2 linked regions of the Oryctolagus cuniculus genome follow. The main gene of each other region encodes a partner of the protein of the gene in region 2 in a complex. Links are inferred from orthologs where the notes say so. Each region holds a gene or a part of one and is shown on either strand. Other genes may lie near its edges.

Evidence for each region.
Region 1: the proteins of AP3B1 (region 2) and AP3M1 are in contact, whole or in part, in a cryo-EM structure (PDB 9C5A), measured with the Homo sapiens proteins. The link is inferred for Oryctolagus cuniculus from reciprocal best matches to the Homo sapiens genes AP3B1 and AP3M1. Residues at the interface, in NP_003655.3 of Homo sapiens: Leu60, Lys64, Val67, Gly68, Ile70, Ala71, Lys72, Gly73, Ile92, Glu93, Lys96, Leu97, Val100, Arg104, Glu107, Asn128, Gln129, Leu130, Arg137, Arg143, Ser163, Pro164, Tyr165, Lys168, Asn169, His172, Gln175, Lys176, Leu202, Ser206; in NP_001307192.1 of Homo sapiens: Met1, Phe15, Leu16, Glu17, Trp20, Lys21, Ser22, Val23, Gln26, Val42, Glu43, Asn44, Val45, Pro46, Pro47, Val48, Ser50, Tyr55, Ser58, Ile59, Tyr60, Gln71, Thr72, Glu73, Val74, Pro75, Pro76, Leu77, Phe78, Ile80.

What each region holds. Positions count from the first base shown.
Region 1 is NC_091446.1:65,181,060-65,197,755, forward strand, and holds the end of AP3M1 (AP-3 complex subunit mu-1), read right to left. Parts: intron 15,411-16,696; 5' UTR 15,407-15,410; coding exon 15,134-15,406; intron 13,652-15,133; coding exon 13,480-13,651; intron 11,742-13,479; coding exon 11,604-11,741; intron 8,916-11,603; coding exon 8,830-8,915; intron 7,726-8,829; coding exon 7,592-7,725; intron 6,372-7,591; coding exon 6,164-6,371; intron 4,139-6,163; coding exon 3,994-4,138; intron 3,530-3,993; coding exon 3,429-3,529; 3' UTR 372-3,428; downstream 1-371. UniProt on the Homo sapiens protein: Part of the AP-3 complex, an adaptor-related complex which is not clathrin-associated. The complex is associated with the Golgi region as well as more peripheral structures.
Region 2 is NC_091445.1:2,245,916-2,262,611, reverse strand, and holds part of AP3B1 (AP-3 complex subunit beta-1), read left to right. Parts: intron 1-10,086; coding exon 10,087-10,182; intron 10,183-10,767; coding exon 10,768-10,928; intron 10,929-12,822; coding exon 12,823-12,889; intron 12,890-16,696. UniProt on the Homo sapiens protein: Subunit of non-clathrin- and clathrin-associated adaptor protein complex 3 (AP-3) that plays a role in protein sorting in the late-Golgi/trans-Golgi network (TGN) and/or endosomes.

The sequences.
Region 1 (16,696 bases), on a different chromosome or scaffold from region 2:
TAAAGATTACTTAGAGGAAATAAGAAAAGTCATGTTTGCTCTCCAGGTTCCTCCAGTGTTTGGAGACACTGGGTTACACTTTATGCCAGATGTGCTTTTCTCTAATATCAGAGCTCAAGACACAGTGAAGCAAATTAAAAAAAAATTTTTGTCTGCAATGATCATTAGAGATGTTACCACTAAAAAAACCTACATTTATAAACTAGGATTTATTATATGCAAATATTTTCTGCCTCTTCTTTTGTTCTGTTAAAGACAATAAAATGCATTTATATAAACAATGCTTTAAAGGATGACTATGTCATTTTACCAAGAGCTTTAAGGGTCAAGTTTCTCTTCTGCAGAACAGCCAATGAAACTAATCCTCAAGATCTGATAACTAAAGATTTTTATTAAATACAAATGTTGTGTCAGAAGTAGGGATTGCAGTAGTGTATATATTTAACAAGGATTTGTGTGATAAAAGACTGTTTGGGATTATGTACTAGTGGTTGGTGCTGTGATGGAGGTCAACAGTGGACAGAAAGTGGCCAGATGACATGAATACTTTCTGATTAAAGCAGTCTGTCTTTATTTTAGAAGATTCTAGCTATTTGTTTGGAGACTATCAGTCAGTGTCCCCTAAAAAGCTGAGATTGTTAAGCATGCAGGAGTACCACACACTCATTTTTTTACACTCCAAAGCCTAGTATGGGATAGTAGGTTTGCCAGAGCCACTAGGCTTTGAGGCAGAGCTAGCTTTGGGGATACATCCCTTTTTCTTGCTTGAGGAAGCACCAAAATTGTAGGGGCACATTCTAGGAATAGAGTTGGGACATCAGTGTTTTTGTCTGATTTTCTGAGGCATTTTTTTAAAGGGTAAAGATCATGAAGGGATGCTATTTGATGCTGCTAACTTAGAATAGTTTCCAATCATACAGGGAGATTCCAGCCTGCTTGAGTTAAAGGAGAATGTCCAAGACTACTGAGTTAGCTCTGCAGTCTCTAAAACGGCCATCGTTTCTCTAGCCACCACTGTGCTCACTGTGCTGCCTTCCTGCTGCTCTATAGTTGTTTTTGGAAACCAGGTGTCTCTAAGGACAATGAGACCAGCATCTTCCAAAACTTATTTGCAGCACCACTTAATGAACCCATCAAATGAACTCTCTGAATAAAATGACTGCAACTACATCTACTTCATTTGTTCTTGGGATATACTCTAAAAAAGGAATATTCTGATTAGCTGGAATTCTATGCTTGAAAACTATTCTAATACTATTAAGTATTTATGGATCTTTGATATTGGTAGGACGTGGTAGTAGGGGAGGTTATCGCTCAGTCTTCAGCCAGAAGAGGCAAACTTAAAACTATGAGTGGCTGTTAGCATACTCTGGTTAGAAGAGGAGCATCTGCAAGTGGCCTTTGCAGCTGTACTCAAATCTTAGGTGAGGATTTGTAAGAAAATCTGATCATGTTTGGCCTTGCCCATCTGAGAATGTCTGATTAAAAAAAAAAAAAAAAAATCAAGTTCTTGCTTTGATTTTTTTTTATTGACAGTATAGCCAGAGCTAGAGAAAGCAGTTATTGGATTCTATAAATTTAATAAATAATTTAATTCTAAGAGGAAAACAGTGTACTTGGATGTCTTAACAGAAATTGCTAAAGGCAAGAAACTTGGCATACATTCTGCTTGGATTCAAGAGGAGACAGTACAGGAGGAACACTGGAATATTTTGAGGTAAGAAACCTGAAGAGTTAAGACATTACAGATGAAAGGATAGGGAGCTGGGCAACTGACTTGAGGTAAAGGGAGTTATATATTTGGTAACATGTGACTTTAGCTGCCCACCTGGGATTGGTTGCCAAAAGTAGCCTTTTTATTAGATAAAGAGCAGGCTGGATGCCCTGGACAGGTAAGGACGCACTGTATAGTGGACTCCCAATACCAGCACCAACCACTAGCCTTTGACACCATAAACAGGAATGAGGTCAAGGGCTATGCTTAGCATTTTAAATGGAAGAGCCAGACGCTGAGAAGAACAAGAGAATAAAACCACAAGGAGAAGGAAACTAGTAGCATTAGTAAGAACAAGCAGGAAACAAGAAGACCAAGTACTTTCAACTTTCAACCTTTCTCTACTTCTTTATATTTAATGAGGCAAAATAACTGGGCAGGATGACCAAGCCAAGGAAGTTGAGATTGACTTTCCAACCATGCTGATCAATATGATATTGTCAGGGTTACTGAGGATTTTGTTTCTGCCTCAATGTAATATACTTCCAGGTACTTTGTTAGTACAGTGTAGACACTGAAGTACTTCAGTAAGAATTATGACAGTAGTTGCAGGAAGCAATCTATGATTACAGGCTTGGTAAATACATACTGCAATAAGAGAGTTCCCCTAAAAGACAAGGGATGCAGGCAAATTCAGCCCCTTAAAAATAACAAAAAGGATAAAAAAAGATTAATAAAATTGAGGCAGGTTCATTTTCTTCCTTTTGCTGAACGGGGGCAGGAGGCAGACTACTTCGGTTTAAGGGGTATTGGATAAGCTTTATAAAACAGGAAGATGGCAAAGGTTTTGTTTAAGTTTCTCTTTACTTTAATTTGCTTAAAACTGCAAACACTTGTGCTTGCAACAACTTCCTAAAAGGAGAAGTAGTGTTCCCTTTTATTATCTTAATAAAGCATTTGCCCCATCATACAAATGATTTTTCCTGTGCTAACAGCTGAACCAGTGGCACAAAATTGAGATGATAGTTACTGCAGCAAGGTCCCTGTAAATCAAAATCTGAGCTTTACATAAAAATCTTATTTATAAAAAATACAATACCAAGTACAGTGAGGATGGAGCATGGAGCAGCAGTGCTCCCTGCCAGGGCCATGTGGAAGTGGCTTCTGCTACAGTGCTTGCTTAATGGCACAAGTGAAAAGCTGAATAAGGCAAACACTTGAAGAGGCAGTTTCTGTAAACGTCGGGGCGTGGGGGGAGTTTCCTCTGTTGGGACAGCTACTGATTTGGGATGGCTAAGATCTGAGGCTATGATATGTAGCTACACCTGACATGTCACGTTGCAGATTAAGACAGCTCCTCCTGGACTAGAAACCAGTTCACTTGTTTTAGGAGATAGGTTATCACTGTAGCCTTCTGCCTTTACTGTCACAATGTGCAGCATCCAGCTGATACCCCCTTCCCCTGTGGAAGAAATCACCTTCAAAATCTTCCCAAGTGAAAAGATAGAAAATAAGCTAAGTTATTAGAAAAGTCTCCTTAGCTTAAAGCTCCTTAAGAACCCTACATTGAGTACTAAGCAACTTTGTTAGTGGTGTGTAGCTCTACACAAATGCTTTAACTAGAATATGTATTCCCACCCACTTGGTATCTAACAGTAATAAATTGTAATGACACTTGGAAAAGAAACTGATCTTGATTACTTCTGGCCTCTTCTCATGTCCTCACTTGGAACTTTCCAGCTTTCGTGACATATTTGACTCCTTTAAATGGCTTATATTTCTCCCCATACATGTCCAAGCGATTTACTTTCAGGCCTGTGTCAAAAAGAATGAAAGGAATAAATTACTACATCTCAGTTATACGAACCAATACTATATAGATAAAATGTGTATTTAAGCAATGAGCCTATACAGTAACTCTGACCTGAAGCAGCGTCTACTCCATCCACTATCAGGAAATGTCCCACCTACATTCACAAATTATTGAACTGTGGGGTTATGGTTTTAGTTGATTGCCATGTAGGCAGGGAATTCTACTTTCTGTGACTATGACTGACTTCTTTTCTGGTGGGTGAACGAAGGCAGGGGTTAAGGGAACTTGAGCGAAATAAATGCTCTCCACAACTGATGCCAGGGAGGCTGGCCCTACAGCACAGCCTAAAAGGCAAACTGGAGCTGTTGCTTTTTCTATAGCAGGAAATGTTTGTTACTTTTTTAACTATCCAATAACTGGGCTCAGTGAAACTTAGTTACCCTTAAACAAAGTCAAACACTTTTACCTGAAATAGCAAGTTGCTGAATCTTGAACTGTATGTTGAGGCTGGGATTCTCTTCTGGCTTAGGTGCTCCTGACTGTAAATTTACCAATCCCTTAAGACTTGGGAGCTTTTGTGGAGTAATTTTTCCCACATCCCATGTTAGTACCTTAAAAAGAAATAAAAAACAAGCATGTGACTTGAACTTGTTTTCTATTTGCAAATGAGGAACTTAAGGTTCCAGATGTCAAATTCCTTGCTTAACGCTAATAAAAGGCAAGTTGGAAGTTGACAAATCCCATCTGATTTTAAATGTTCTTTTTATTATACCATCTTCACTGCTTCTCTCTGAGCCTGTTTCTTTTTCTGTAAAGGGAGAATCATCTAAGTTGGTATTTGAAAATTTTTAGCTGTAGAAGTTCAAGTGAAATCTTAAGCATGGAAGCTCGATGCAGAAGAGAAAGCGAAGCTGTTCTGTTTGAAGCTACACTGGAAGGGCACGAGATCCGGAGCCCCCCTTTCCCAGTCCCGCGTTGTTTCTGAGGAGCTTCTTTGAATTCCTGGGATGGAGTTAGATAATGTTTAACAGTTTATGACTTTTAATTAAAAAAAAAAAATGTCTTTGGGTACCGTGAGTGGGTTCAGCTGCTAATTCCAACACCAGCATCCCATATCAAAGTGCATCAAAGGATGGAAGCTCTGTGTCACTCTGCCTTTCAAATAAATACATAAATACATCTTTTTAAAGAATATGCCTTTTTGGGGCTGGCGCTGTGGCACAGTGGGTTAAGCCACTACCTGTGGTGCAGGCATCTGATATGGGCACCAGTTCAAGTCCTGGATGCTCCATTTTCAATCCAGCTTCCTGCTAATGCACCTGAGAAAGCAATGGAAGATAACCAAAGTATTTGGGGCCCTGTAACCATGTAAAAAACCTGGAGGAAGCTCCTGGCTCCTGCCTGGCCCAGCCCTTGGAATGAACCAGTGGGTGGAAGATCTATCTCTCCCTCTATGTAACTCTGAGTTTCAAATAAATAAATACATCTTTAAAAAGCCTTTTTATCAGGCAGTTCAATGACTATGCTGTAGTTGCTTCATAATCTTCCGCTATAGGCATGTGTAAATAGGCAGAACAATGTCTCCTGTGGAAGAATATGAAATGAAGAACTTTTAAAAGGGGGCTGGCTGGCATTGTGGCCTAATGGATTAAGCCACTGCTTTTAATGCTGGCATCCCATGTGGAGTGCTGGTTTGAGTCCTGGCTGCTCTGCTTCTGATCCAGCTTGCGTATTTAATGAGGCTGGCAAGGCAGCAGAAGACGATTCAAGTCCTTGGGTCCCTCAACCATTTTTGAGACCAGGATGGAGTTCCTGGCTCCTGGTTTTGGCAGGACCTTTTGAGAAGTGAACCAGCAGGTGGAAGATCTCTCTCTACCCCCTCTCTCTGCTGTTTTGCCTTTCAAATAAATAAGTAAATAAACCTTAAAAAAAAGGAACAAAATAATGGTTGGTTTCTACAGAAAGATCTAACAATAGATTATAGTATCTTCATATATCCACAAAACACTTAAAAAAGCCTTTACTGGGGCCAGCACTGTCGCGTAGCAGGTAAAGCTGCCACCTGCAGCGCTGGCATGCCATACAGACACTGGTTCAAATCCCAGCTGCTCCACTTCCAATTCAGCTCCCTGCTATGGCCTGGGAAAGCAGTACAAGATGGCCCAAGTCCTTGGGCCCCTGCACCTACGTGGGAGACCTGGAAGAAGCTCCTGGCTCCTGGCTTCAGACTGGCCCAGGCCTGGCCATGGCAGCCATCTGGAAAGTGAATCAGCGGATGGAAGACCTCTCTGCCTTTGCCTCTCTGTAATTCTGCCTTTCAAAATAAATAAATAAATTGTTTTAAAAAAGCCTTTACATTCTTATTAGTAGAGACAGTCTTTGGGTTATCACAGATGAGTAAAGGTACTTTGAAAGAAGATAGAGTCAGTTTCACGTCTCTGTTTATCTACTCAGGGGCAGACGTGGGATTCTCTCTACAGCCAGTGGCAGAAATACAGCCTAGTATGACCTTTGTTTGGTTTGGATAGGAACTTTAGTTTTAAACAAGGTGGTAAACCTCCCCTCTACTCTTTCCCCCAAATCACAAAAGAGATTTCAGGAAACACTTGCTCACTCTTGATCTGAAGTGGCTGTACCTTGGTGACTGGATCAAAGGTATAGCTGCCTTGTGTTGGTGTCAGGTTCATATTCAGCACAACTTTTGGCATGTGAACTGTCACTGTAATTCCTTCAACAGTTTTGCCCATATTCTGCTTTGGTCCAATCGTTACATCAAATCTGCCACAGGAACTGTTCTCCTTGAAGCTGATATTATGTTTCACATACACTGGTATTGCCACTAGACTAAAAGACACAAAAGCATATACATACACAATTAATGGTTAGGATACCTTCAGAGCTGCCCTGAAAATACCAGTCCAGAGTATTCTACCCTGCGTCTACTCCACAGTAGGGATCCATATTTCTGAAACTGCGTCTTTAGCATCTGCACAAAGGAAAGCTGGGTATAGCACATTCTGGTACCACTGTGGTCTAGGAAATCTATCATTTCTCAGCAGGAGGTATACAGATCAGAACCCAACTCTGAAGCCTAATAACAGTGTAAGCAATTGAGACAAATGGTTCTAGTTTTTAAAAAGATCCCACTGAAAGGTAATTTAGAATTTAATATAAATGATGAGAGCCAAGAAACATTTCTCTGCTTTTCAGTCCTGTCTTGATGATACCACCCAAATACCCTCAGATCCTTTCAAGGAAAAAAATAGCTATATAAGCTACGATGCTGAATTGTTCCTTTGAAACTCACGGCAGCAGAGAGTGACTTGAAGTGGGCATGTTGGGCAAGTCTGCAGAGCTAAAGGTAAGGCCTGTCTCCTTCTGTTGGCCAAATGTCTACAGACTTTGATAAAATTATGGTACCAGTTCCGGGTTCTGGTTATGCATAGTCCAAAATGCTTGTTCTCAGGCATAGGCTTTGCTATGGTCTTATTTACTGCTACTATGTACTCTTAGATTCAAGGTACAGATTATTTCAGGCATGTATTCTCATCAGTTCTCTTGGGGTATCTTTTTTTTTTTTTTTTTTTTTTTTTTGACAGGCAGAGTGGACAGTGAGAGAGAGAGACAGAGAGAAAGGTCTTCCTTTGCCGTTGGTTCACCTTCCAATGGCCACCGCAGTCAGTAAGCTGCGGCCGGCGCACCGCGCTGATGCGATGGCAGGAGCCAGGTACTTCTCCTGGTCTCCCATGGGGTGCAGGGCCCAAGCACTTGGGCCATCCTCCACTGCACTCCCTGGCCACAGCAGAGAGCTGGCCTGGAAGAGGGGTATCCGGGACAGAATCCGGCGCCCTGACTGGGACTAGAACCCGGTGTGCCAGTGCCGCAAGGCGGAGGATTAGCCTAGTGAGCCGCGGCGCCGGCCTCTCTTTGGGTATCTTGTTGAGTTGTGATTAAGTCAACCATGATGAACTCAAGTAGCCAAGTGTAGAATGAAACAAGGCAAAGTAGGTTCTATTCAGTACACTGATACATGATGGAAGATTCTGGCTGACACATCAACATACTTTTGTGAGCTGACACGGTAGGATATGAGTCGGAAATTTCCATCTGGAGGAATAAATGACAAAACTCTTTCAGATTCCCAGCGTTTGAACCGGATGCAGGGATGGAAGCTGACATCATCCAGAAGCCTGGGGTTCTGCCAGGAAAACACAAGACAGCCAGGTTCATAAAGTATACCAGCTATGGTAACTCTGTTCAGTATTATGAGATATTAGTATTTTTTCTAAAGATAAAGCAGTCATGAATGAAATAAACCAGGCACAGAAAGACAAATACCACATGTTCTCACTTATATGCAGAAGCTAAAGTCGATCTCACCAAAAATTACAGTGATTACCAGAGGTAGATGGAGTAAGGTGGTGGAGAACAGAGGGAGGCTGTTAAGATGGATCTCCTAATACAGTTAGAAGGAGTAAGTTCTGCAGTTCTAGCACAGTAGGCTGACTACAGCAATTTGTGATTTATGAAGAACTAGAAGAGAGGAATATGAAAGTTCCCAATAGCAAGAATGACAAACATTTAAGAAGATAGAAATGCTAATTATACTGATTTGATCATTATACACTGTTTATGTAAATGTATTATCACGCTGTAGCCCTTAACTATGTTATTATGTGTCAAAAAGATAAAAGTCATGTGAGCATTTATTAGTTATTATGACATCCACAGAACCTTAAACGTTTCACAATTTGCAAGTATTTTATATACATTATTTGAATTTCAATAACTACCAGGGAGCAAAGATGAATAATATTAGTTCCATTGCATAGGTAAAAAAACTGAGGTTCAGGACAAATTGGTAAAAGAGCACCATAACTCAATTCTTTTCATTGTTCTTTGCAGTGTGGTATGCTAAGTCCAAAATGATAAGACAAAGTCCAGTGCCCTTTCCTGTTAGTAAAGCAGATAATTATTCAGTGAAAACTAAAGTAGAGATTTGCCAGCTAACTTTTAAGTCACTTTTAGCACATCTAAGCAAAGACTTCTCAGCCTTTTCATAAAGGCCAGGCTCATCATGTAAACTACTGTCCTGAAAGCTGCTATGCTAGCAATACTTCTCAGATGATCCTTTACACTCTTAGATACAAACTTATCTAAAGTACTTATCACCTCATTTAATATTTAGTTGTAGTACTTATCGCTTCATTGAGTATTTCATATGTATGCTATTATGAGTTGGAAATTTCCACCTGGAGGAATAAATGTAGCCCTTTGCTGCAAACAAGAAAACAAAACTTACCATGAAAGATAGGGAGAGATCGGGCATTCCTGATAGCTTAATGCAAGCATCAATGACCCCCTGAATTTCTGCAAAGACTGTAGATCCTGAAGAAAGAAAAAGATTGATAGTATCAATGGAATCTGAGTCTTTAGCAGAGCTATCACTATATCTGGAGTAATGGAGCCACCCCCTGGGTGTCAGACTTGCTGAAGCTTTGCACCTCGATTAACAGGTCAGTGGACAGGGGATATATTACACCAGTTCAGAAAGCCTTTTCATTTAGTGCCATGGTCTGTAGCTAACTCTGGTTGGAATATGATAATGCTAATGAAAATCAAACCTATCTCCTTTAGAGAGTTCACCTTCTAAGACTACTGATATGAATTTAAATTGTTACAACAGACTTGAAAAATGAGGGAAATTTATTAGGAAATGCAGCAAACTACTTCCTAACTTTTAAGAAATAGGAGCCACTTGGGATAAGCATTGTGATGTAGTGGGTAACGCTGCCACCTGCAATGCCAGCACTCCATACGTGTGCCAGGTTGTGTTCTAGCTGCTCCACTTTCCATCTGGGTCCCTGCCACCCACATGGGTGACACGATGAAGCTCCCAGCTCCTGGATTTGAGCTGACACAGTCCTGCTGTTGCAGCTATCTACAGAGTGAACCACCCTCACCACCCTAACTCTGACTTACCAAATAAATAAATAAACATTTAAAAAAAGAAAAATAGAAGCTATGATCTATTTTTCTGTAGACAGAATGCTACAGTGGAAAGAGTAATCACTGAAGAAAAGATATTGGCTAGGGGCCGGTGCTGTGGCATAGCAGGTTAACGCCCTGGCCTGAAGAACTGGCATTCCATATGGGCGCTGGTTCGAGACCCGGCTGCTCCACTTCAAACCAACTCCGTGCTATGGCCTGGGAAGGCAGTAGATGGCCCAAGTCCTAGGACACCTGCACCTGCGTGCGAGAACTGGAAGAAGCTCCTGGCTTCGGATTGGCGCAGCTCTGGCCGTTGAGGCCAACTGGGGAGTGAACCAGTGGATGGAAAAATCTCTTTCTCTGTCTCCTCTCTCTGTGTAACTCTTTCAAATAAATAAACAAATCTGTAAAAAAAGAAAAGCAAAGCTGAAAGGAAGGATTCCTTTCCCTTTATCAATTACTATTAAAAAAAAGATATTGGCTAAAATTCACTAATTATCATCACATATCAAATACAACCTTTAGTGGATCACTCAACCTTTCTAAGGCTCTTCCTTTCTTTCTTATGGCTGCAACGGCTGAGACTAAGCCAGGCCGAAGCCAGAAGTCAGGAGCCAGGAGCTTCTTCAGCATCTCCTATGTGGGTGCAGGGACCCAAAAACTTGGGCCATCTCTGCCTTCCCAGGCCATCAGCAGGGAGCTGGATCAGAAATGGAGCAGGAACTCAAACTGGCGCCTATATGGGATGCCAGTGCTGCAGGCAGATGCTTAACATACTACATTGCAGTGCCAGCCCCAGCCTCAGTTTACATATAAAATGTGATGATGGGACTAGATTTTTAAAAATACTTTATAATTTTACTAATTTTTTGATAAACATTTAATACTTGCACATTTTATGGGTATTCTTTTTTCTTTCTTTCTTTTTTTTTAAGATTAATTTATTTATTTGAAGGCTGAGTTACAGAGAGGCAGAGAGAGGGGGAGAGGGAGAGAGAGAGAGAGGTCTTCCATCTGCTGGTTAACTCCCCAGATGGCTGCAACAGCCAGAGCTACACCAATCTGAAGCCAGGAGTCAGGAGTTTCTTCTGGGTCTTTCATGCAGGTGCAGGGACCCAAGGACTTGGGCCATCTTCTATTGCTTTGGGGTATACTTTCAACATATATACAGAGCCTGGATTGATTGAGCTAGGCAACTAAGCGTTTACTTCCTTTTTTTTTTTTTTTTTTTTTTTTTTTGACAGGCAGAGTGGACAGTGAGAGAGAGACAGAGAGAAAGGTCTTCCTTTTGCCGTTGGTTCACCCTCCAATGGCCGCTGCGGCCGGTGCGCTGCGGCCGGCGCACCGCGCTGATCCAATGGCAGGAGCCAGGTGCTTCTCCTGGTCTCCCATGGGGTGCAGGGCCCAAGCACTTGGGCCATCCTCCACTGCACTCCCTGGCCACAGCAGAGAGCTGGCCTGGAAGAGGGGCAACCGGGACAGAATCCGGCGCCCCGACCGGGACTAGAACCCGGTGTGCCGGCGCTGCAAGGCGGAGGATTAGCCTAGTGAGCTGCGGCGCCGGCCTCCTTTTCGTTTTGTTTGGTGCCTATCAGCTCTTCTTTTCCAGTTCTTCATATGGTATATAATACAATTTTGTGAACTACAGTCACCCTAGTTATATTATGAATATTTTTAATAATTAAATTTTATGATTGTGATAGAGTACCATCACCTGGTCTGGCTAAAAAATAGTCAGACACAGCCCTCTGCTAGTAGTACGGCATATAAAATAGTAGTAAAAGTATGGTATATGATAGATATGCAGTAAGTGTTACAAATAAATAACAAGCAAGAGAAGTATACAGAGTAATAATTAATCTGTAAGTAAGGCATGATGATTTCTAATTTACGAATGTTTGGCAGACTTCAACTAGTGGTTATGAAAATTATATGTAACCTCTGGGCAAAATAAACAGAGTTCTAAATCCTTAGAAAATAAATGCCTTTCTACTGAAATTACACTGCCAAAGGATTTTAATTTTCTTTTCAGCCTATGTCGGCTGAATTGTTTTTTCCCTAAATTGGACCTCATGCACAAATTACCTGATTTGTCTATAATTGCATCTATTTCTTCAACGACATCAAAATAGGCTTCGTTGTTTGTGTACTTTACCCCTGCCCGGCGCCATGGGATATTGGACAGCTGCCCAGTGGGAAGTGTGTCCCCAACATTACTACTGCCTGGGAAATGTAAAAGAAGAAAGCAAAGCTGATATATAAAATGGTTATCAGAAAAGCTATCATCAGAAAACAAAATTAAAAAAAAAAAAGAAGTAAGTGGCTTCTTCAAATGCTGTGTTTTTCTCACTGAAACTGTGATGGTCTCCAGAAATGTCAAAGATGTATCTATAACCAATATGATCAAACTTCTAAAAGACAGAAACAGGCCATGTGGTTCTCTGACAAACCAGGTTAAATTCATTTACTTATCTTTTGCTTTCTGTGTGTTAATAGAAACAATAACTAATTCCAGTGGCCCAACAACAGACTCTCATCCTGCTGCCACTGATGAAAAGAGGTTGTTTGTTTCAAAATCTTTTGCTGATAAAATGTCTCCACTGAGAATACAAAGTGATAAATAGGCCCTTTGGTATTCAGCTTAATTGTATACCAGATGCTGCCAAAAAGGCCTCAGTGGAGAAACTGGATGAAGAACATGCTCTGGCCTTTTCCCATTTTCAGGTCAGCACACTGATTTAGCTGCAATATGGTTAAACTTCAATATCTAATTGCATGGTAAATCACAAACACTTGTGTGATTGTCCAAAAAAACGTGCTTTGACTTACTTAACATTTTGGTTACTTTACACTTCTAATCCAAGTACATGCTTAACTGTCCTCTGGCCAAGAAGGGAGGGGCATAGTTCATAAAGTGGTTTAAAAAAAATCTATCTTCTTACGAACAAGGTACAATTACCATTATGTTTTTAAGCATTTTCCCATGTAGGTTGCATTTACTATTTTGTTCTATTTTGTTAATTTTGTTTTGAATGCACTTGTATTCATACTGTATATACAATTTTGCAATCCATTTATGATTGGTGTTCCTGCCTCCAACCTGTTGCTTTCCAGAAGAATTTTTGAAAGCCATAGCTTTCATCATGTTGTTTTCCTGCTTAAAATCTTCCATGTTTACAATAAAAGCTAAATATTTAGCCTAACATTCAAGGACTTTCTCAGCTGTTAAAATTACTTCCCTCACTACGCATCTGAAAAACAGCTCGGCTTCTATTAAAGGGGTTAATACAACTCAAGGTTTTCACTTCATGTGTATTTTTCCTCATACCTATGGAGAATGCTTTTTTTCTAACTCTACTGATTGTCCAGGGCCCTGCCTGAAGGCTACTTATTACAGTCCAGCAAGGATTACTTCATATACTGAACTATCCTCTTGGACTTTACAATATATTGCCCTATGGATACATGTTAAATTTTTACATTCTACATAGTAACATTTTTCTAATTAAAAATATGTTTATTTTGGAAGGTTGGAAATTATGAAGCAAAAATATATTCTGTATTTCCTTAGCTTGAGATAGTTACTGTCAGCATTTTAGATTTTTGTCTTTGAGAATGTCAATATATAATTAAGAGTAGCTTTTAATGGTCTTGAGCTGTTTTTTTAACCTGTTTAATAATTTTAGAATGAGTATTTCCAGTGTTACTACATTATCTGCAAAGTATGAAACTGTTTACTAAAATCTTAGTGTTACACAGGAGTTTAAATTTTAGGCACACAGTGGCTTCATAGAGTGACTTCTTTAACACTACCTAGGATAATTTATCCAATCCTCTTACTTAGTGCATACCAGTAACTAATTCTGGCCAAATCTTACTACTTTAATAATTTGTCAGATCATAAGTACCAATAAGTTGTTTATAAAATTGTAGCTGCTAGAGGAATATGTTTTCACCTTACCTGTAATAGAATTGACAACAGAACGTAGAATTGTTGGTGGCTTAATCAGTTCTTTCAAAATGTTAGATTCAGTAGCCAGTGGAAATCCATTGTCTAACATTTCTTCCAAGAGCTCATATACTATGACCACGTTATCCTTGATTGCAGCCTCTGAACACTCACCAAAATAGTCCTAACAAAATATATAGAATATTGCACAATGAAAAGCAGAAAGGAAGATTTGCTACATACTTTTTCTCAGAATAAACTTAAAGTGAAGTAACTTACTTTTTAACATGTTGAAAATCTGTAAGCAAGAGGGAAGAAACCCCTCTAGTCCTAGCACTACTCCTCAAAATTTTTGTAATTTATTATTTATTTCAGAGACAGACAGACACACATACACAGAGAGACAGAGTTCCCACGCACTAGTTCAATCCCCAAATGCCTACAATGTCCATGGCTGGGTCAAGGTTAAGTCAAGAGCCAAGAACTCAATCCAGGTTTCTCACATGGGTTTTAGGAACTCAATTATTAAGCCATCATTGCTGCCTCCCTGGGTCTGTATTATTGGGAAGCTGAAATCGGGAGATGGAAATTAAACTCTGATGTTGAATGAAGTGTAAACTGGCATGTTAAACTGCAAATGCCTGCTCCCTAAAGTGTTTTTGGAATGAACTTGATTCCTAATACATTATACCAAAAAGTACTGAAATGTTAAACTGGGGGCCTGTGCTGTGGCATAGCAGGTTAAGCCACAGTTACAGCTCCTGTTCGAGTTCTGGCTGCTTCACTTGCAATCCAGTTCCCTGCTGGATCTCCCTGGGCAGAGAGCAGGATTGGAAGTGTAGCAGCCAGGACTCGAACTGGTGCCACAGGCCGGGACCTTCACAGCACTGGCCCCATGAATAAATCTTAAACAAAAAAGAAAGAAAAAGAAAGAAATGTTAAACTGGCATGTAAGCAAGAAACTTCACTTGTCCTGGGCAGGTGTTAAGTGCTGGAGTAGGCTGCTTAGTGCTGCTTAGGAACGCTTGCATCCTGTACCACAGTGCTGGTTCCAGCTCTGCTCCTCCATTTCCAATCCAGCTTCCTAATACCGCATGCTAGGAGGCAGAGGATAATAGCAAGTGCTTCCCTTCCTTCTACGTGGGAGACCCAGATAGAGTTCCTGGCTCCTGCCTTCAGCCTGGCCCAGCTGTAACAGGCATTTGGGGAGTGAACCAGTGGATAGAAGAAGCATGCTCGCTCTCTCTGTTGCTCTGCCTTTCAAGTAGATGAAAAAAATAAGCATTGAAAAACAACACCACAAAAACTTCATTTGTCCTGATTAACTACTCCTAAGCACACATGGATAAGTTTTAAATTATTTGGTATACACAGCAAGACAAGAAAAAATATAGATTGTAAATACAGAAGAGTTCATAATCAACAAAAATCTTGGGAATATCCAGAGAATTTTATTTGGAGGGCCCTATTATTGCCTGATGACATAATTTTTAATATACCTAAAAAACAGCAAACAGAGTAGCCGTGTGTACGCTGTACACTCTATAGAAAAAGGTTTAAGAAGTGAGAAACAAAGAGTATACACTAAAAGCTGCAAATTAATCACAAGCCCCACTTCCAGCTAACTTGTGCAACTTAAATTAGAACGGTTTTATGCATAACCAACCTGGAAAGTGTCAGCAACTCGATGCAGGAACTCAATTACAAAGAGAGGTGGCACTTCAGTCTGTATGACAGACACAAAGAAGAGCTTGTCCCGGTAGATACTGATGAGGTAATGGTGAGGTGTTGAAATGACAGGTGGCACATTTTCAACATCAGCAGCTTTCTCCTGAGCTTCAAAGAAATAATCACAGACAGACTGGCTCACAACACTCTTCCAGTGCTTCTCCAGAAATATGTCACCGGAACAGTTAATGAGAAATAGACTGTGGATCATTTTTCTGTGGGGGGGAAAAAGGTTTAATTTTATTAAATGTCACAAAGTGCCCATGTATTACCCTGATACAAAACCTTACAAAGCAATATAAGAAACTACAGACTATTTTCATTTAAGAACACTGACAGAGTGGCTGGCACTGTGGTGTAGAGTTAAGCCACCGCATGCAACACTGCCATCTCAAGTGGGCGCTGGTTCATGTCCCAGCTGTTCCACTTCTGATCCAGCACCCTGCTGATGGCCTGGGAAAAGCAGCCGAAGATGGCCCAAGTGTGTGGGCCTCTGTCATTCACATGGGAGACTGACAAGAAGTTTTTGACCCCCGCAGCCATGGGAAGTGAATCAGTGGATAGAAGACCTTTCTCTCCTTCTCTCTGTAACTCTTCCTTTCAAATAAATAAATCTTTTATTTTTTAAGGAATATTGATACAAAAATCCTGACAAAAACACTAAAAAACTGAATCTGGTAACATATTAAAAAAGGGCTACATTCCCTCACCAAGTGATATTTATTTCAAGAGGGAAAAGTTGGTTCAAATAAGCAAATCAAAGTAACATGGAATATTAATACAAGTACCAAAACAAATAGTCATTTCAAAAATTAAAGAAAAAGCATTGACAAAATCTAAGACCTTTTCATGAAAACAAAACAAGTGCTTGAACCAGGAAGATAAACTTCCCTAACCTGATAAAGACATCCACGAGAATCTCACAACTAATATCACATTTAATAGTAAAAGAACAAATATAGGCCGGCGCCGCGGCTCACTAGGCTAATCCTCCGCCTTGCGGCGCCGGCACACCGGGTTCTAGTCCTGGTCGGGGCGCTGGATTCTGTCCCGGTTGCCCCTCTTCCAGGCCAGCTCTCTGCTGTGGCCCGGGAGTGCAGTGGAGGATGGCCCAAGGGCTTGGGCCCTGCACCCCATGGGAGACCAGGAAAAGTACCTGGCTCCTGCCATCGGATCAGCACGGTGCGCCGGCCGCAGTGCACTGGCTGCGGCGGCCATTGGAGGGTGAACCAACGGCAAAGGAAGACCTTTCTCTCTGTCTCTCTCTCACTGTCCACTCTGCCTGTCAAAAAAAAAAAAAAAAAAAAAAAAAAAGAACAAATATAGATTGTCCACTCTCACCATTTTTATTCAACATGGTTCTAGCCAGGGCAATTAAGTAAGAAAAAGAAAAAAAAAAGGCTCTCAAATTGAAAAGGAAAGAGCAAAACTGTATTTGCAGAATATACAATCTTTTATATAGAAAATCCTAAGGATTAGACACAAAAAACTAGTAGAGCTA
Region 2 (16,696 bases):
GGTAAATACTAATGAAGGCTAACATTAAAAAAAGTGCTTTTCCTGGGTTGTTATTGCCTGAGTTAGATAAACTTGTTTTATCTTCACAAACAATGCTTTGGAAGCTGGTCCTGTAATTAGCTATATCTTACATATGGGGACAAGGTGGCAGAAGGGTAAATGACCTGATCAAAACCACACGGTAAGTTCATAGCAGTCGACGTCTGAAGTCTAACCAGCCTGGCTCCAGAACCCCTCCTAGACCATTCGCTGTTCAGCGCTGTCCGTCCTGTTGAGTGATTCCTTCTTCTTTCTACCTTAGTCATCGTAACTTCTTACCAATATCCAGTATTAGCTGTCTTTTGGAGGTATGTGATACTGACATAAATTTTTTATGTTTTAGAGATGAGTAGACATGACCACATCTGTAGAAATTGGTGGTCAATTGACTAGTGTCTTCTGGACTTCTACTTTTCTTATTGTAAGCAGAATATTCTCTTGCTAATTGTTGTTCATTCAGAGCTTTTTATACTGTTCAAATAACTTCCAGGACTTTGCTATTCATTTATTTTTTCCCTTTAGAATCAGATTCCGGTGTGCTAGATAATAATGATCTATAACAAAAATGGCAACATAAACATAATTATTGATCTGTTTCTGTAGAACTTCTTTTGTTCTTCATACATCTTGTTATTTTTTGAAACACACAATCTTTTAATGTGAGGAAAAATGACATAAGTGCCTTAAAAATTATGTTTGGAGAACTGATTGATGTTTCATTGTTATCAAGTGCAAAACTTCATTTTTACAAGTACACACTGCCTCAGACACTCAGGTGAGCTGTACGTCATCTGCCATTAGGTGTCAAATGATAGCAAAAGTGACCTAGTAAGCAATCAGTGGTTATAGTACAAAATAATCAAAGGTTTAGTCAATAACTCATGAAGTTTGATGTACTCGTATTGATAAACTAATTAAACAGATCTGCCTGTGTTCTGTCAGCCTGCTGGGGCTCTGCTATGATTAGCTTTACAGCAAAGAGTGTTGTAACATGGAATGAGAGTAACTGATGGGAGGATGGTGTAGTCACGGAGTGTTAACTACTCCCATTTCTGGTCACAGAATGGTTTCGGGAAAGTAGGCTTTCTCTGCACACCTGCAGCCGGTCAGTGCATAGGCCTCTTGTGGTCAATATTGATTGATTCTTATAACAGAACTAGAACAAATTCAGTGTTTTGCAACCTTCTGTGATTTAATATTGTTATGCTTTTTGTCGTAACAGTGATAGAAATCTTTCTCCAATAGTGAGTAATTATAGCTATGCCTGCTAGCTCAGCTGTGGTTCTGTATGTTTCAGTGTTGCCAATATAAACTCCTGGATATGATCTGGAGTTCATGATTCAGTTACTTGGTAAATAAAGGTATTGCTGAGAAACAAATCATAAAGGGATTGAGCCAAAACAGAATGTAACCCAAGATTCTTTTGAAACTCTCCTGGTAATTATAGAGTGAGATCTGAATATAATTAGTAAAGAGAAAACATATTTGAAATGATTATTTAAAACAACAGCAATGAATGAGGTAAAGAGCTTGGTGCAGTCTTCCCATTACCTATACTTTCCTCATAATATGTTGATGTCTGTAGAGACATAGTATTCAGTGAGTCATAACTGCTGGTGGGAAGTTAGTTTCTGTATATAGCAGCCCGGTGGGAAATGTCTTAATTTTTTCCAGTCCGCCTGTGGGCTGTGATGTGATTCAGCTAATAAGTGCTGTGCTCTTAGCCACGTGCCAAGCAGTGTGATAACGATGAATGAAGAAGGGTTCCCCTGCTAGGTAACCTCACTTTAGTCCCACGGCAGACCTGAGAGATTTTCTGCTTAATTTGTGTTTTGTGTTGATTTAATATCTTTAAACTATTAATCAGCCAACAAGTTGACTTTCTAGCTTCATTGTAGTGTTAGGAGCTATAAAATATAGCTGGGGAGAAAGTCATCTCTCCTCAATTTGATAGATGCTTCTAAAACTGGTCTAAGAATGTTTGGAATTTGTTTCCACTCAAGTCTAACACGTTGCACACAGTTTGACCCATTTGACTTTCACTTTACAAACTAGTATCATCCAGTTCTGTAATTCCTGCCTAAGACCACTTGGTTGCAAGTGATAATTTAAAAGAGCAGTGTTTTCACAGATATATTTACTTTGGGATTAAGCAGATTGTAAATTTTGAGAAGGACTGATTTGACTAAAAGAATGCATAAAATCTGTGAGTGTAGATGCCAAGTGCTTTGATTTTCTGTAGAAGCAAATCTCATGTTGAATTTTTAGTAACAGTATCTCAGTGATGTGCTTCTCAAGTAAGATGATAATCCAATTTGGTTTATGAGTTAGTTTCTAAGAATTATAAAGCTGTTTGTTGGACCTAGTGCGTTGACTGGACCATAAGACTTAGTAAGGGTTAAGTGATTTAAAATATTCTTTTATAAACTGATATAGTATCAAATATTTTTTTCCCGCCTATAGAGATAGTTTATATTTAAGAAATTTTATTCTTTAAATGGTTTAATTTACACTAGATTTTCAGATGCTGGGGGCAGGGGGCTGGGGGCAGGGGGCTGGGGGCGAAGGCCATCTCTTTGTCGGGGACACTTTGATGGAGAAGTGTGAGGACTGCTCTCACACAGCAGATACGTCATACTAGGGAGCTTGTCCTCTGTCTTGGGCTGATTCCTGGTTCTGCCACGTGCTTGCTCTGAGACCAAAGGTGAGATACAAACTTCTGTGTTTTCCTTTCCTACTATTTTTTTTAAGATGGTGTTAAACTGTTGTATTTACAAAAATGGCACAAATTGAAGTCATCAGTCCACGTGCATGTGTACTTCTTTCACACCTTCAACAACACAAGATGTATTAGCGTTATGGAACGGAATAAGAATACTAACTGCGATGGAACCTGCTGAGCATTGGATGAGTTATGTAGGTTAACCAGCATGGGCAAATATTGCCCAAGGGAGAGTCTTTTAAAGCTGACGCAGGGTTAAGGCCATTCCAGGTCAAGCCCAGAGACGCAGACCTTTTGGAATCCCATCTAGTTGTCTTTGAATTACACGAACTCTTTTCCAGCTTGTCTGAAACTTCTTTTTTACAAAATCCAAAAAGAAAATACAGAAGAAACCAGTTCAGTAAAGATTATGTTAAATAAGAGTAACATACCAAGCTATTATTAAAATGAAGTAACTAAAGTTAGAACCATTAAGACCATCTAGAGGCAGGTGCTGTGGTGTAGCAAATAAAGCCGCCTGCCGTGCCAGCATCCCATATGAGTGCTGGTTTAAGTCCCAGCTGCTCCAATTCTGATCCTACTCTCTGCTATGGCCTGGGAAAGCAGAAGATGGCCCAAGTCCTTGAGCCCCTGCACCTGCGTGGGAGAGACAGAAAAAGCTCCTGGTCCTGGCTTTGGATCAGTGTAGCTCCTGCCGTTGTGGCCATCTGGGGAGTAAACCAGCGGATGGAAGACTCTCTCTCTCTCTCTCTCCCTCTCCCTCCCTCCCTCTCCCCCTCTCTCCCCCTCTCCCCCTCTCCCTTTCCCTCTCCTTTCCCCTCTCCCTTTTCCTCTCTCCCTCTGTTTCTGCCTCTCCTCCTCTCTGTAACTCTGACTTTCAAATAAATAAATAAATCTAAAAAAAAAAAAGTCAAACGTGTTGTGTATTGGGACCAGTCCTACATAATGACATAGGTAGGACGTACAGTTATTTTCAAGTAGATTATGCTGCCTTGTCGTGTCCTTTTTTCTTAGTACACTGTTAGCCAAAAACTCTGCACATGTATATTCCCTTATAGTGGCAGTACGCACCCTGCTACCTGCAAAGCCGGCAGTCTCAAATGACTTAGTGAATAAAAAGAAATAAAAAGTGAATGAGTATTATATTAAGGAAAAATAATGGGAATTAGAAAATTCATGCAATTCTGCTCTTTTAATCAGCCAGCCGACTTGCTAGCAACAGGAGGTGGTTTCCTTGAAGATCCTGTGGCGGGAGCACGTGGCCACCAGTGACCTCTGCTTTATCAGGGGCTGCAGTAGGAAGTCACTTGTTCTTCTTTTTTGCTTTTAGCCATGTTGTAGTCCCCAGAGTGGCATTATTTTTGCCCTTTCTGTCATTTCCTTAAGAAACCTGGCTTTTGTCCCAGATGACACTTGCCTGTCAGTTGGCTTCTTCATCTTTCTCTGCACTTTCCATCTTCCGTGTCCTCCTGCTTCTTTGTGGATTCCCTGTGGGGACTTCCGTGAACCCAGTGCTCCCTCTAACCATGCTTGTCCTGCTTTTCTGTTCCCCGCCCTCCACTTTCTTAGGCAGAATTTCCTTTCGTAGTCTATGTTCCTTAACTAATTTTAATACTGACTAAATGGTAAGCATAGTCTTAGATATAAAAGGCCAAAGAACTTTTCCATGTGAAAGATCAGTGAGACAACAAAGCTTAAATCTAATGCACAATTCTGGATTAGGGAAAAATATAGACATATTATTGGGAAATTTTAAATATACAATATCATGTATTTGATAACTGTGATACTTGAAAATTGAAGGTATATAGGCCTGCCATTAATAACTTTGGACCTTTCAGTAGGTCATGTTGAAGGATGATGGAGACCGCTCTGAGTGCCTGAAATAGTAAGACAGTAAATTTGTTACATTCAATAGCTGGGAAGAGTTACGCTTCTTATGCAGTTTCCTTGGGCAAAGAGATGGCCAACCTTGCGGTGGAGTTTTGGGAAAGGTGGACTTGGAGGAACTCATGGACGTTCAGGGTCCTGACTGGGTGAATATCTGCAGATGTGTGGCCACTTGGATGAGTCTGTTGTTGATTGATGGGCACCCAGATACGTGTTTCTTGGAGTGAGTTTGTTCTTGACTGGCTACCTTTTACAGGCTTCGGCTGTCTCAGGCTGGTTGACTTGGAAAAGCCTGTTAATTCAGCTGAATTTTGTTGATCTATTGAATTGAACAGCTTTAAAGTAGTTCTGGTAACTGTGTATTGCCAAGGCTACAGATATAGTCTTTGGTAGAATATGATAATTTAAAAATATTGTCTACTCAAAATTGTTTATAATGAAGAAATTTAAAATATTGTTAAAGTCAGAGAAAGTACTATTGTTTTGTGCTGGAGGATTCTTGGAAAGATGAGGTTTACCCCTAAAGTAAAAATATCTTTATTTTTTTTAAATTTATTTGAAAGTCAGAGTTACACAGAGAGAGGAGAGGCAGAGAGCGAGAGAGAGAGAGAGAGAGAGGTCTGCCATCCGCTGGTTCACTCCTCAATTGGCCGCAACAGCTGGAGCTGCGCCAATCCGAAGCCAGGAGCTTCTTCCTGGTCTCCCTCGTGGGTGCAGGGCCCCAAGGACCGGGCCATCCTCTGCTGCTTTCCCAGGCCACAGCTTTGGAAGTGGAGCAGCCGGGTTTCTAACTGGCGGCTGCATGGGACTCTGACGCCTCAAGCCAGGGCGTTAACCCGCTGTGCCACAGCACCGGCTCCATCTTTACTGTTTTATCCGCAGAAAATTAATATTCTTTGGGAAAAATCAGGTAGTATAGAACGATGCAGAGAGTGAAAGTCACTAATTACTGTTGGTCAGACATGGTCTCTGTTAGCATTTACCAGGTAGATTCTCTCCTTTTATGCTTGCTCGCTTTGAATCCGGGTGCCTCCACCTGATGAGTGTTCACCGTGGTCGTTACTGAACCTCTCTGAGCCTCCATTTTCTCATCTGCAGAATGGGAATCACACTGTTTATTGAGTCGTGACAGTGAAATGAATTAATGTGAATAAAATTTAGAATGTTCCAGGTGTGTGGTTAGTGCTATATGGTTACCTCCTCTGATTCAGTTTTACTTCCCGTGGTTTCAATTACCTGTGATCAATTGAAAAGAGAAAATTCTAGAAACAGTTCATACGTTTCAAAGTGCATGTCATTCTGAGGAGCATGGTGAAATCCTCTCCCTTCATCTAGGCTGTGAGTTACCCCGTGTCCAGTGTGTCCACTTCAGACATGCTGCCTGCCCGTTAGTCACTTTGGTAGCCATCTTGATTATCTGATCTGCTGTCCCAGCATGGCTGCTGGTCTTTAACTCTTACTTTGCTTAATAATGACCCCAAAGTCAGGAATGCTGATGCTGGTAATTCAGATAAGCTAAAGAGAAACTGTCAAGTACTTTTTTTAAAAGTGAAAGGTGAGAGTCCAGTAAGATATTTGGAGGGAGAGAGACCATAGCCATGTAACTTTTATTGTAATATAGTGAAAATTTTTCTATATATTAGCTATTGTTATTTTTTTTAAAGATTTATTTATTTGGAGAGGTAGAGTTAGAGAGAGAGAGGGAGAGACAGAGAGAAAGGTCTTCCATCCACTGGTTCACTTCTCGAATGGCTACGACGGCCGAAGCTCAGATGATCCGAAGCCAGGAGCCAGTAGCTTCCTCCGGGTCTCCCATGTGGGTGCAGGGGTCCAAGCACTTGGGCCATCTTCCACTGCTTTCCTAGACCATTGCAGAGAGCTGGATGGGAAGTGGAGCCGCCGAGACTTGAACCAGTACCCATATGGGATGCTGGCACTGCTGGCTGTGGCGTAACCTACTATACCATAACGCCAGCCCCTATTGTTACTCTCTGAACTGTGCCTGATTTATAAGTTAAATTTTATCATATGTTTGAATTTATAGGAAAAAACATTGTGTGTGTGTGTGTGAACGTATATGAATCAGTATCATGTCCATAGTGAGGCATCCTCTGCTGCTATTGGAACATCTGCCTTACAGATACAGGAGGTGGGGACTGCCGTGTGTACCTGTTTGCCATTTTTACAATATCGTATCTATTTTAAGATACTTGTTTTCAATTTTAGAGTTTCTGTAGGTAGGATTTATCTTAACATATGGTGTTGACTTACACTGGGCAGGGCTTCTTCATTCTTTGTTACTTTGTGGTACATAAAACAATGGCATAGCTTGAAACATGTTGCCTGCCATGGCCTGCAGCCTGTTCGCCTCTGCCCTGGAGCCTGCTCACCTGTGTCCTGGTAACTGCGGGCGTGGGCTGTGCAGATGCTGCGCACAGGACCCACTCTGCTCTTAGTGCATAAATTCACAGAGAAACATGAATGGATAACAACAGAAAATGGTATTGGAGCAGTGGGAATCAGCAATTTTGCACAGGAAGCCTTAGGAGATGCTTTTTGTAGTCTGCCTGAAGTTGGGACAAAATTGAACAAACAAGGAAGATGGTCTGATATGAGGCACATCATTTTTTTCTGAGCCACAGTGAGTTTGGTGCTTTGGAAAGTGTGAAAACTGCTAGTGAACTCTATTCTCCTCCACCAGGAGAAGTAACTGAAATTAATGAAACCCTTGCAGAAAACCCAGGACTCGGCAACAAATCTAGTTATGAAGATGGGTGGCTGATCAAGAGGACACTGAGTAACCCTTCAGAACCAGACGTACTAATGAGTGAAGAAGCCTATGAGAAACACATAAAAGCTATTGAGGAGTGAAAGTGGAACCCTTGCATGAGCTAATATGGAGTAACTCAGTCCACACAGTTTTATCTTAAATTAGTGCTGGACAGGACTTAACATAGCAACTACTTTCAATACTACTTTCAACTCTGCTACTGGAAGAAAATATGCCCTAACTTTGTAGTGATTGCAGATGAACATAATACGTATCTTTTCACAGTACCTTGTGATTTTTATACTCGGCTCTAGGCACTAATTCAGAATCATGAAGTTATCTGTGCTAAAAACTAGGTATACAAATAATGTAATGCAAGGATAACATTGTTATCTTAAGCCTTACATAATATTGTAACTTGCTTATACCCATCCCTGGATTGGGGTCAAAATATGTGATGATCTTTCCATTGGAAGTAACTGGAAATGCACAAGTTTTAGTTGTACAGTGCCAGAGAAAGAACAATACTATCTTAATTTTGCGATATACTGCGTGTGCTGGTGCTGTTTTATACAGTGAAGCAGCAGCTCTATAGCAAATAAGAAACATAATAAAATTTTCAACTTCCTCATTAAAAAAAAAAGAAAAACTGATTTTGTATGTTAGACTGAATAAAATACAGTGTGCGCATCTGTTGATTCAAATACAAATGAGATCATAGGATTCACACTATAAACCAGTAAAAATTGTTAAGGGGATATATTTTGGGTATCATATACATGTTTATTGAACTCGTTATAGTGGCTGCATGGTTTAATGTTATGTAGGTATAATTTATTTTACTCTGTTAATATTTTATTATTTAATATTTGCTTTTGTGGAAAATTTGGTAAGTGGAATTAGCGTGACGTGGTGTAACTCAGGAGTGTAACCTAATGGAAATTGAGACAGAAAGTGTAAGTTATATTTGGGGACTGCTTTTGTAAATAGGAAAGAAGTTTGGTGATAGATTATAAGCTGTATTGAGATTTTCCTTTTATGATTCTGTGGAGTCATTCAACACTGAAGACTAATTAGGAATAAATTATTTCGTTTGTTTCACCTCTGTGTCCATGTAATATAAATGAATGAATTATTAACTTTAAATGGTTATGTTTAGCATCTCTATTAATAATGATGAAGATGTAGAAAGTATACTCACTAGGTTTGTTCTTAGAACTTGTAAAATTAAGGTCTAAGGTTTTCTTAACAAAATAACATGGTGCATTGAATTTGGTATTTAAAACTTCTGTTGATAAATGTAAGATTTTGCCCCTCACTTAAATTTTTAAAATCCCCTGAGAAAGTCGCTCAAGTATGGTTTGGAAAAATACAGAGCTTAAGCCAGGAATTAGTTGTATCATAAACACACAGAACAAGAGTTGTGTGTGTCAGTGAAGTGCCTTGTTGGAAGCTGTCACTGGTCTGTTCTGTTCAGGCCATTTGTAGTGTGGAGGGCCGCAGCCGAAGGAATGCAGACTAGAGTGAGAGCAGGTTTGTGAGAGAGCAGTAGAGTGGTGAAAGGGCTCAGAATCCTGTGTGTGCAGAAATCAGACTGTGGAGGCAGAAGGGGCCTGGCAGCTGCCTGTGAAGCAGTGTAGACGTTGGTTGGTTTGGCATAACCCAGGGTGGCACTCTTTTTCCTCTCCAGCCATTTCCAACTAGTCTCCCTTCCATTTTTTATGTTTTTTTGAACATTCCAGAAAATTTTAGGGTGTACTATGCCAGTATATATGCAAAAAGCAATCAGGTAGTATCTAGGATTTGTGAAAAGGAAGCAATTGATGAACAACAACTAAAATTCCATTTTTATTTATTTTTTTCTGTTCATAATTTTGTGTTAAGCCTAATAATTAAATTGGCTTTAAAAACTTTTCAGAACACAAGTCCAGGCTTTTGGAGTTTCTGTTACATTAAATTAGTGTTACTGACATATGAGATTGCTTCAAAAAGTTTGTGGAAATGGATTTAAAAGATAAGTTTATAGTGGTAAAAATGTTTTGAAATCCAGGCATACAAGAAGTCTCAGAGTTCATAAAAATGCATTTTAGGAAAAAAATGCTTGAGTTTCAAAAACTTTTGTAGCAAAATATGCTTATCTTTGAATTATATTTTCCCATGAGCTTTTTGAAGTACCCACTGTACATTGTTAATTCTGAACTGGAAATCTTGAATAATGTGTAATACGGTGTGAGTATTCCCGTTAGGTCAGAGACGGGACTCCAGAATCTTTGGGGCAAGAAGGAAGTATAAGTCCCCTTACTATGTGACTGCTGGACAGGGCTCACGTTCGTTCTTCCTTACTGATTGTGAAAATACTTCCCACTTCAGTTACTGTTCTAATATTCTTGTGAATTTTGCTCAGGGAATTTCTTAAATTTCCTTTTAGAGGGAGGGACACTTGATAGAATGCTGCTGTTATGGATTAGATGATTAAAATGCTTACTTCATAAGCTTTTTGGTTGCCAAAATATTATCTTTATTTTATAATCTGAACTATGACCAGGTATACTTAATATACTAGAGAAATAATCGAGAGTATATTTTGGTGTAGAACCTACTGATTTTTAAATTTTCCCTCCGGCTATGAGTAAATGACTTTCAAAAACGTTTTTTTTTAAACCAGATAAAGAAGTTGGTGTATGTTTACCTGGTCCGGTACGCCGAGGAGCAGCAGGACCTGGCTCTCTTATCCATCAGCACTTTTCAGCGGGCTCTGAAGGTAAATAATGGAGTCAGCAGGCAGATAGTTACGGTTTCTGGGCACTTGAAGAACTGGAGCAGTAATCTTCTAAATAGCACAGGACTGTCTCGAAAGAGTTAAAAGGTCTGCCCTAGTACCTGGTCAGCGCCATTGGAAAGTGATTTGTATAGCCACCTGGAACCTTGCCTTGTCTGCTGTAGCTTCTGTGATGTTTCTGTATGTCTGGTGAAAACATTAGCATGCATCAAAAAACTGTTCATCATAGCAGCTAATTGAAAAAAGTGTTCAAAGAGGGAGCATAAGACCTTCTCAAAGATAAAATTTATGACCTGCAACATTTTATTATTATGAAATCCTAGAAGTCTGCCTCATGTAATAATAATTTATCAATTTCAATTATAACCATTATTTTTCTTTAAAATATTCATAGAAATAAACGTTTATTTACTTGTTTTTACCCACTTCCATATCCTGGGTGTTCACTTCAAGTAGCTTTCTCCTGTCTTTATATTGCACCCTATAAGCACCTATTAATTGTCATAAAGATGCCTTTGAAATATTTGCAAACTTAAAATTCTGATGAGTATTTTTGCGCTTCGTTAGGACCCAAACCAGCTAATCCGTGCCAGTGCTTTGAGAGTTCTGTCAAGCATCAGAGTGCCAATCATTGTGCCTATCATGATGCTCGCTATCAAGGACGCTTCTGCCGACTTGTCACCGTATGTTAGGAAGAACGCAGCCCACGCAATACAGAAGCTGTACAGGTAGGTGTTTTTGATAATACTGAAAATCTGTAATGTTGCACTCTTACCCAGAAGGTGATGGACCACAGAGACTTATTTTATGAGCTCTTAAAAGTAAATCAAATGATTAATATTTGCCTCAGACATCTTTATGAATTTTTAATTTTGGTTACAGAAACCCTATGCAAGCTTTTAATTTGTGAACTAATTAGGACCTGTGATAAATGGGACCTGTGATAGATTTTATTAGCTTGAAAATAATCAGAATTTGAATTCTCATTTATATAGTCTGTCCCTTGTACACACGTCTCAGTTATTAGAATACTGAGATTTCTTTCTGTATTATTGAGTAGAATGTTAATTGCATTATCTTCTCAGCTTGTCCCTTGTTCCATCTTTGTTCCTTCTGTTCTTCTCCTTGTCTCGTTCTTTCCCAGAGCTATTTGTTAAATGATTTTTGAAAAGTGATCTATGAGACTGTAGTAGCACACTGTGTGTGTGTGATAGTGTGTCCACAGCGCTGCGTCAGCCAGATTTATGCCAACAATAGCAGTTGTGACACTTAAGAAAAGTATATTTTCCATTTGCAGAAGAAAATCAATCATATGCCAAATAATTAAGGCAAGCTATAATTGACCAAGATATTAGCATATGATAAAATTTATCTTCAAAAAGTTTGTGGGAAATACATACTATTTTTAAACTTTTCCCACCCATTTTTTCAAGTGCCATTGTGTGTTGTATGCAAAAACATACTAATGATACCTTTGGAAGAACAGAAGCCATCGTGTTACCGGTTTGGCCAGAAAGTAAAGATGCAGTGATGTGGGATTAGTTAGGAAAGACTTCTTGGAGAAGGCGACTGAAACTGGAATTTGAAAGAAGTTGAAAGACCTGAAGCTTCAGATAATTATAATGGCTAATAATATAATTATATAATGCCTATAAAAGGTAAAAACTCCTATTTTTAAAGTAACTGTCCACATTTATATTGCTTTTCACTCTTGAGCTTTCTCATTATAAACTTGGGAAAGATCAAAGCTCACTATGATGGCTTCAAAATCCTTTTGTCACTGTGCTGCAGGTTCTCTCTCTGGCCTTGAGTCCTGCTGGTAGCCAGGAATTCATGATCTAGTAACACAATACAGTCCATTCTTACCTCTTATTTTTCTGGTTCTTATAGGGCAGGTTTTAAAAACCTGTCTTCCCACTGGTATGATAATACATTCTTATTTGGAAATTCCCTGTATTTGTTTTAAGCAGTTATGTATCCATAGTAAACATGATGGCTATTGTTTTTAACCCAGTCGAAGCAACTTGTGCTCTACCTACTTGAAATTACTTCCTTGGGTTTTCCAACTAGTTTGAGAAGTGATTTGGGGGATCAGTGTTGTGGCACAGCTGCCTGCTGCAACGCTGGCATCCTGTCCTGGAAGGGCTGTTTTGAATCCCAGCTGCTCCGTTTCCCATCCACCTCCCTGCACATGACCTGGGAAGCAGCCGAGGATGGCCCGCGTGCTTGGGCCCCTGCACCCATGTGGCTCCTGGCTTCTGCCTGGCCCACATCCTGCCATTGCAGCCATCTAGGAAGTGAACCAGTGAAGAGAAGACCTCTCTTTATCTCACTCTGTGTCTCTAACTCTGCCTTTCAAACAGATTAAGTCTTTTTTCTTAAAAGTGAAGTCTTATTTAAACACTTATCATGTATACTTGACTTAGTTAATGTGATGAAGTTTAGGACACGTTTATGAGAAAAACTTTCTATTTTACTATAAATTTCTTTTCTGTTTCTATGTTGAAATAATTTTTCCTTCCCTCCCTTCTTTTAAGATTTTTTAGCATCATGAACCATGAGCATCTTTTAAAACCAGAATTAAGGAAAGAAATTGATAAAGGTTTTCTTTTACTGTTTCAGTCTTGATCCAGAGCAAAAGGAAATGTTAATTGAAGTAATTGAAAAGCTTTTGAAAGATAAAAGCACAGTAAGTAAAATCTTTTGTTATTAAAATAGTTTTTTATTTACATAGTATCATTTACCATTGGATATTTTATGTAATTAATTTTATTTCAAACCTCAGTTGTGGAGAGAGAAAAACAGATCCCATCTGCTAAATCACTCCTCAAATGCCTGCGACAGCTGGGGCCTAAGATGGGAGCTGGGAATGCAGTCTAGGTCTCCAAGGGGCAACAGGAGGCCATCACTTGAGAGGTTACCTGCTGCCTCCCAGCGTCTGTAGTGGCAGGAGGCGGGGTTCAGGAGCTGGAACCAGTCTGGCGTCTTAATTGCTGGACCAAATGCCCACTCCAAAGTGGTATGAGCATTAATGGAGCTTCTAAGAATTTTAAAATCTTCGAAGATCAAAGGTTTCCATATAATAAAGATTGCATTGTAAAGTTAAGTTTGTTACTTGTTTATTTCTTTTTTTTATTTTTATTTTTTTTTATTTTTATTTTTTTTGACAGGCAGAGTGGACAGTGAGAGAGAGAGACAGAGAGAAAGGTCTTCCCTTTGCCACTGGTTCACCCTCCAATGGCCGCTGCGGCCAGCGCACCGCGCTGATCCGATGGCAGGAGCCAGGTGCCTCTCCCGGTCTCCCATGCGGGTGCAGGGCCCAAGCACTTGGGCCATCCTCCACTGCACTCCCTGGCCAGCAGAGAGCTGGCCTGGAGGAGGGGCAACCGGGACAGAATCCGGCACCCTAACCGGGACCAGAACCCGGGCTGCCGGCGCTGCAAGGCGGAGGATTAGCCCAGTGAACCATGGCGCCGGCCTGTTTGTTTCTTTTTTAAGAATTATTTTATTTATTTGAAAGAGAGTTATGGAGAGAGGTAGAGTCAGAGAGAGATAAAGTGGTCTTCCATTCTGCTGGTTCACTCCCCAAATGACCACAATGGACAGAGCTGAGCTGATTGGAAGCCAGGAGCCAGGAGCTTCTTCCGGGTCTCCCATGCGGGTGCAGGGGCCCAGGGAGATGGGCCATCTTCCACTACTTTTCCAGGCCATAGCAGAACACTGGATTGGAAGTGGAGCAGCTGGGACTTGAACTGGTGGCCTAAGGGGATGCTGGTGCTACAGGCTGGGGTTTTAACCTGCTACACCACAGCTCTGACTCCTACATGTTTGTTGATCAGAGTCTGAAGTTGGGGAAAATCTTTTCTTTAACTGAAGACTCTTGTCGACCGCTTATAGAATCTAAGTTTATTTCAAACAATAGTGTATTTGGATTTTAAAAGGACTTGGGAAAACCATTATCTTAAAATGAAGCATTAAATGTTAAAGGGATTTTGGAAAATTTGAGAATTGGCTTTTAGTGTTACAAATGTGTTTTTAGGAAATATTAAAATATTTTCATACATACTAGGCTGCTTTATTGGCTACAAAGAATGATCTTAATGAAGTGATCATCTTTTGGTAGTGTATGGGTCGTGTTTTGTGTCTTATGCCTACTGGTTCTAGCCTTATTGAGAGTGGGATAGTGAAGTTTGTCTTTCCCATTCTGTCATTATTTGCTTCATATCTTCAGGAGCTCTGATATTTAGTGCATATGTGTTTTTTCCATTTTGTTATTATAAAATGTTCTTCTATCTCTAGAAACACTTTTTGCTTAGACTTTTTTTGTGTGTGTTTGGTGTTAGTACAGCCATTCCAACTTTCTGTGGTTGCTGTTTTTAGTACATACGTTTTCTTGCCTTTTTTAAAAAAATTTTTAGAGATTTATTTATTTTACTTAAGAGGCAGAGTCACACAGAGAGGAAGAGACAGAGGGCGAGGTCTTCTATTCACTGGTTCACTTCCCAAATGGCCGCAGCAACCCAAGTTGAGCTCATCTGCATCCAGGAGCTAGGAGCTTCTTCTGGGTCTCTGCTGCAGATGCAGGGGCCCGAGGACTTGGGCCACCACCTTCCACTGCTTTCCCAGGCCATCAGGGAGCTAGATCGGCAGTGGGGCAGCTGGGATATGAACCAGTGCCCATATAGGATGCTTGCGCTGCATGCAGATGCTTAACCCACTACACCACAGTGCCAGCCCCATAGGTTTGTTTTTTTTTTTGGACAGGCAGAGTGGACAGTGAGAGAGAAAGACAGCGAGAAGGGTCTTCCTTTGCCATTGGTTCACCCTCCAATGGTTGCCGCGGCCTGCGCGCTGCAGCCAGCACACCGCGCTGATCCGAAGCCAGGAGCCAGGTGCTTCTCCTGGTCTCCCATGGGGTGCAGGGCCCAAGGACTTGGGCCATCCTCCACTGCCCTCCCTGGCCACAGCAGAGAGCTGGCCTGGAAGAGGGGCAACTGGGACAGAATCCGGCACCCTGACCGGGACTAGAACCCCGTGTGCCGGCGCCGCAAGGTTGTGGGGAGCAACTGAGACTAGACTAAATTACTGGAACTAGGACTAATTCTGTGCATCTGCTATCCCACAATATGGCGCTGAGAGAGAGAGCAAACAACCTCTACGCAGCTGCCTCTTGCCAATTTGACTGATAAGCTGCAGGAGCTGATCCTGCTCCTGATTGGAGGAGAGCAGCGTGCTCGGCGTGTGGGTAGCAGAGTTGGGATTGGTGGAAGAGGACTATAAAGGAGGAGAGAGACAACATGCACCAGGAACATCTGAAGGAACACCTGAGCAGCCCCCGAGAGAGCCGGCCGGCGGTGTGCCGCTCCCCCGTGGAAGTGGGGAAAGTGGCAGGGGGAACTGCCCTTCCACGGAGGTGGAGGGGTCGGCAGCCAACCCGGGAAGAACCAGCAGCAAACCCGGGAAGGGCTGAGCAGATGAAAGAACAGCACAGGGTCTAGTGTCGTTCCTCCGCAAATGGGGGAGCGACACAAGGTGGAGGATTAGCCTAGTGAGCCGCAGCGCCAGCCCCCATAGGTTTTTATTTTTAATCTTTTTGTATTTTTGTATATAATATATGTCTCCAGTCGATGGCATATGGTTTTTATCTGGAATGGCATTATGTTCTTTTGACTGAGTTTTTTTTTTTTCTTTGGCAGCCAGAGTTAGACAGTGAGAGAGAGAGAGGGGGGGGGGGGAGAAAGGTCTTCCTTTTTCTGTTGGTTCATCCCCCCATGTGGCTGCATGGCCGGTGGCGCTGCGCCGATCCGAAGCCAGGAGCCAGGTGCTTCCTCCTGGTCTCCCATGGGGTGCAGGGCCCAAGCACTTGGGCCATCCTCCACTGCAATCCCGGGCCACAGCAGAGAGCTGGACTGGAAGGGGGCAACCGGGACAGAATCTTGTGCCCTGACTGGGACTAGAACCTGTGGTGCCAGTGCCGCAGGCGGAGGATTAGCCTAGTGAACCGCGGCACTGGCCCTTGACTGAGTTTTTTAATCCATTCACACTTAACGTTATTAATATGGTTGGATTTTTTTTTTTTTTTTTTTTTTTGACAGGCAGAGTGGACAGTGAGAGAGAGAGACAGAGAGAAAGGTCTTCCTTTTGCCGTTGGTTCACCCTCCAATGGCCGCCGCGGCCGGCGCGCTGCAGCCGGCGCACCGCGCTAATCCGATGGCAGGAGCCAGGAGCCAGGTGCTTTTCCTGGTCTCCCATGGGGTGCAGGGCCCAAGCACCTGGGCCATCCTCCACTGCACTCCCTGGCCACAGCAGAGGGCTGGCCTGGAAGAGGGGCAACCGGGACAGAATCCGGCGCCCCGACCGGGACTAGAACCCGGTGTGCCGGCGCCGCTAGGCGGAGGATTAGCCTAGTGAGCCGCGGCGCCGGCCAATATGGTTGGATTTTTAGCCGTTTTGTTTGTTTATATGTGTCTCAAGTGTTCTTTTGTTTCTCATTACT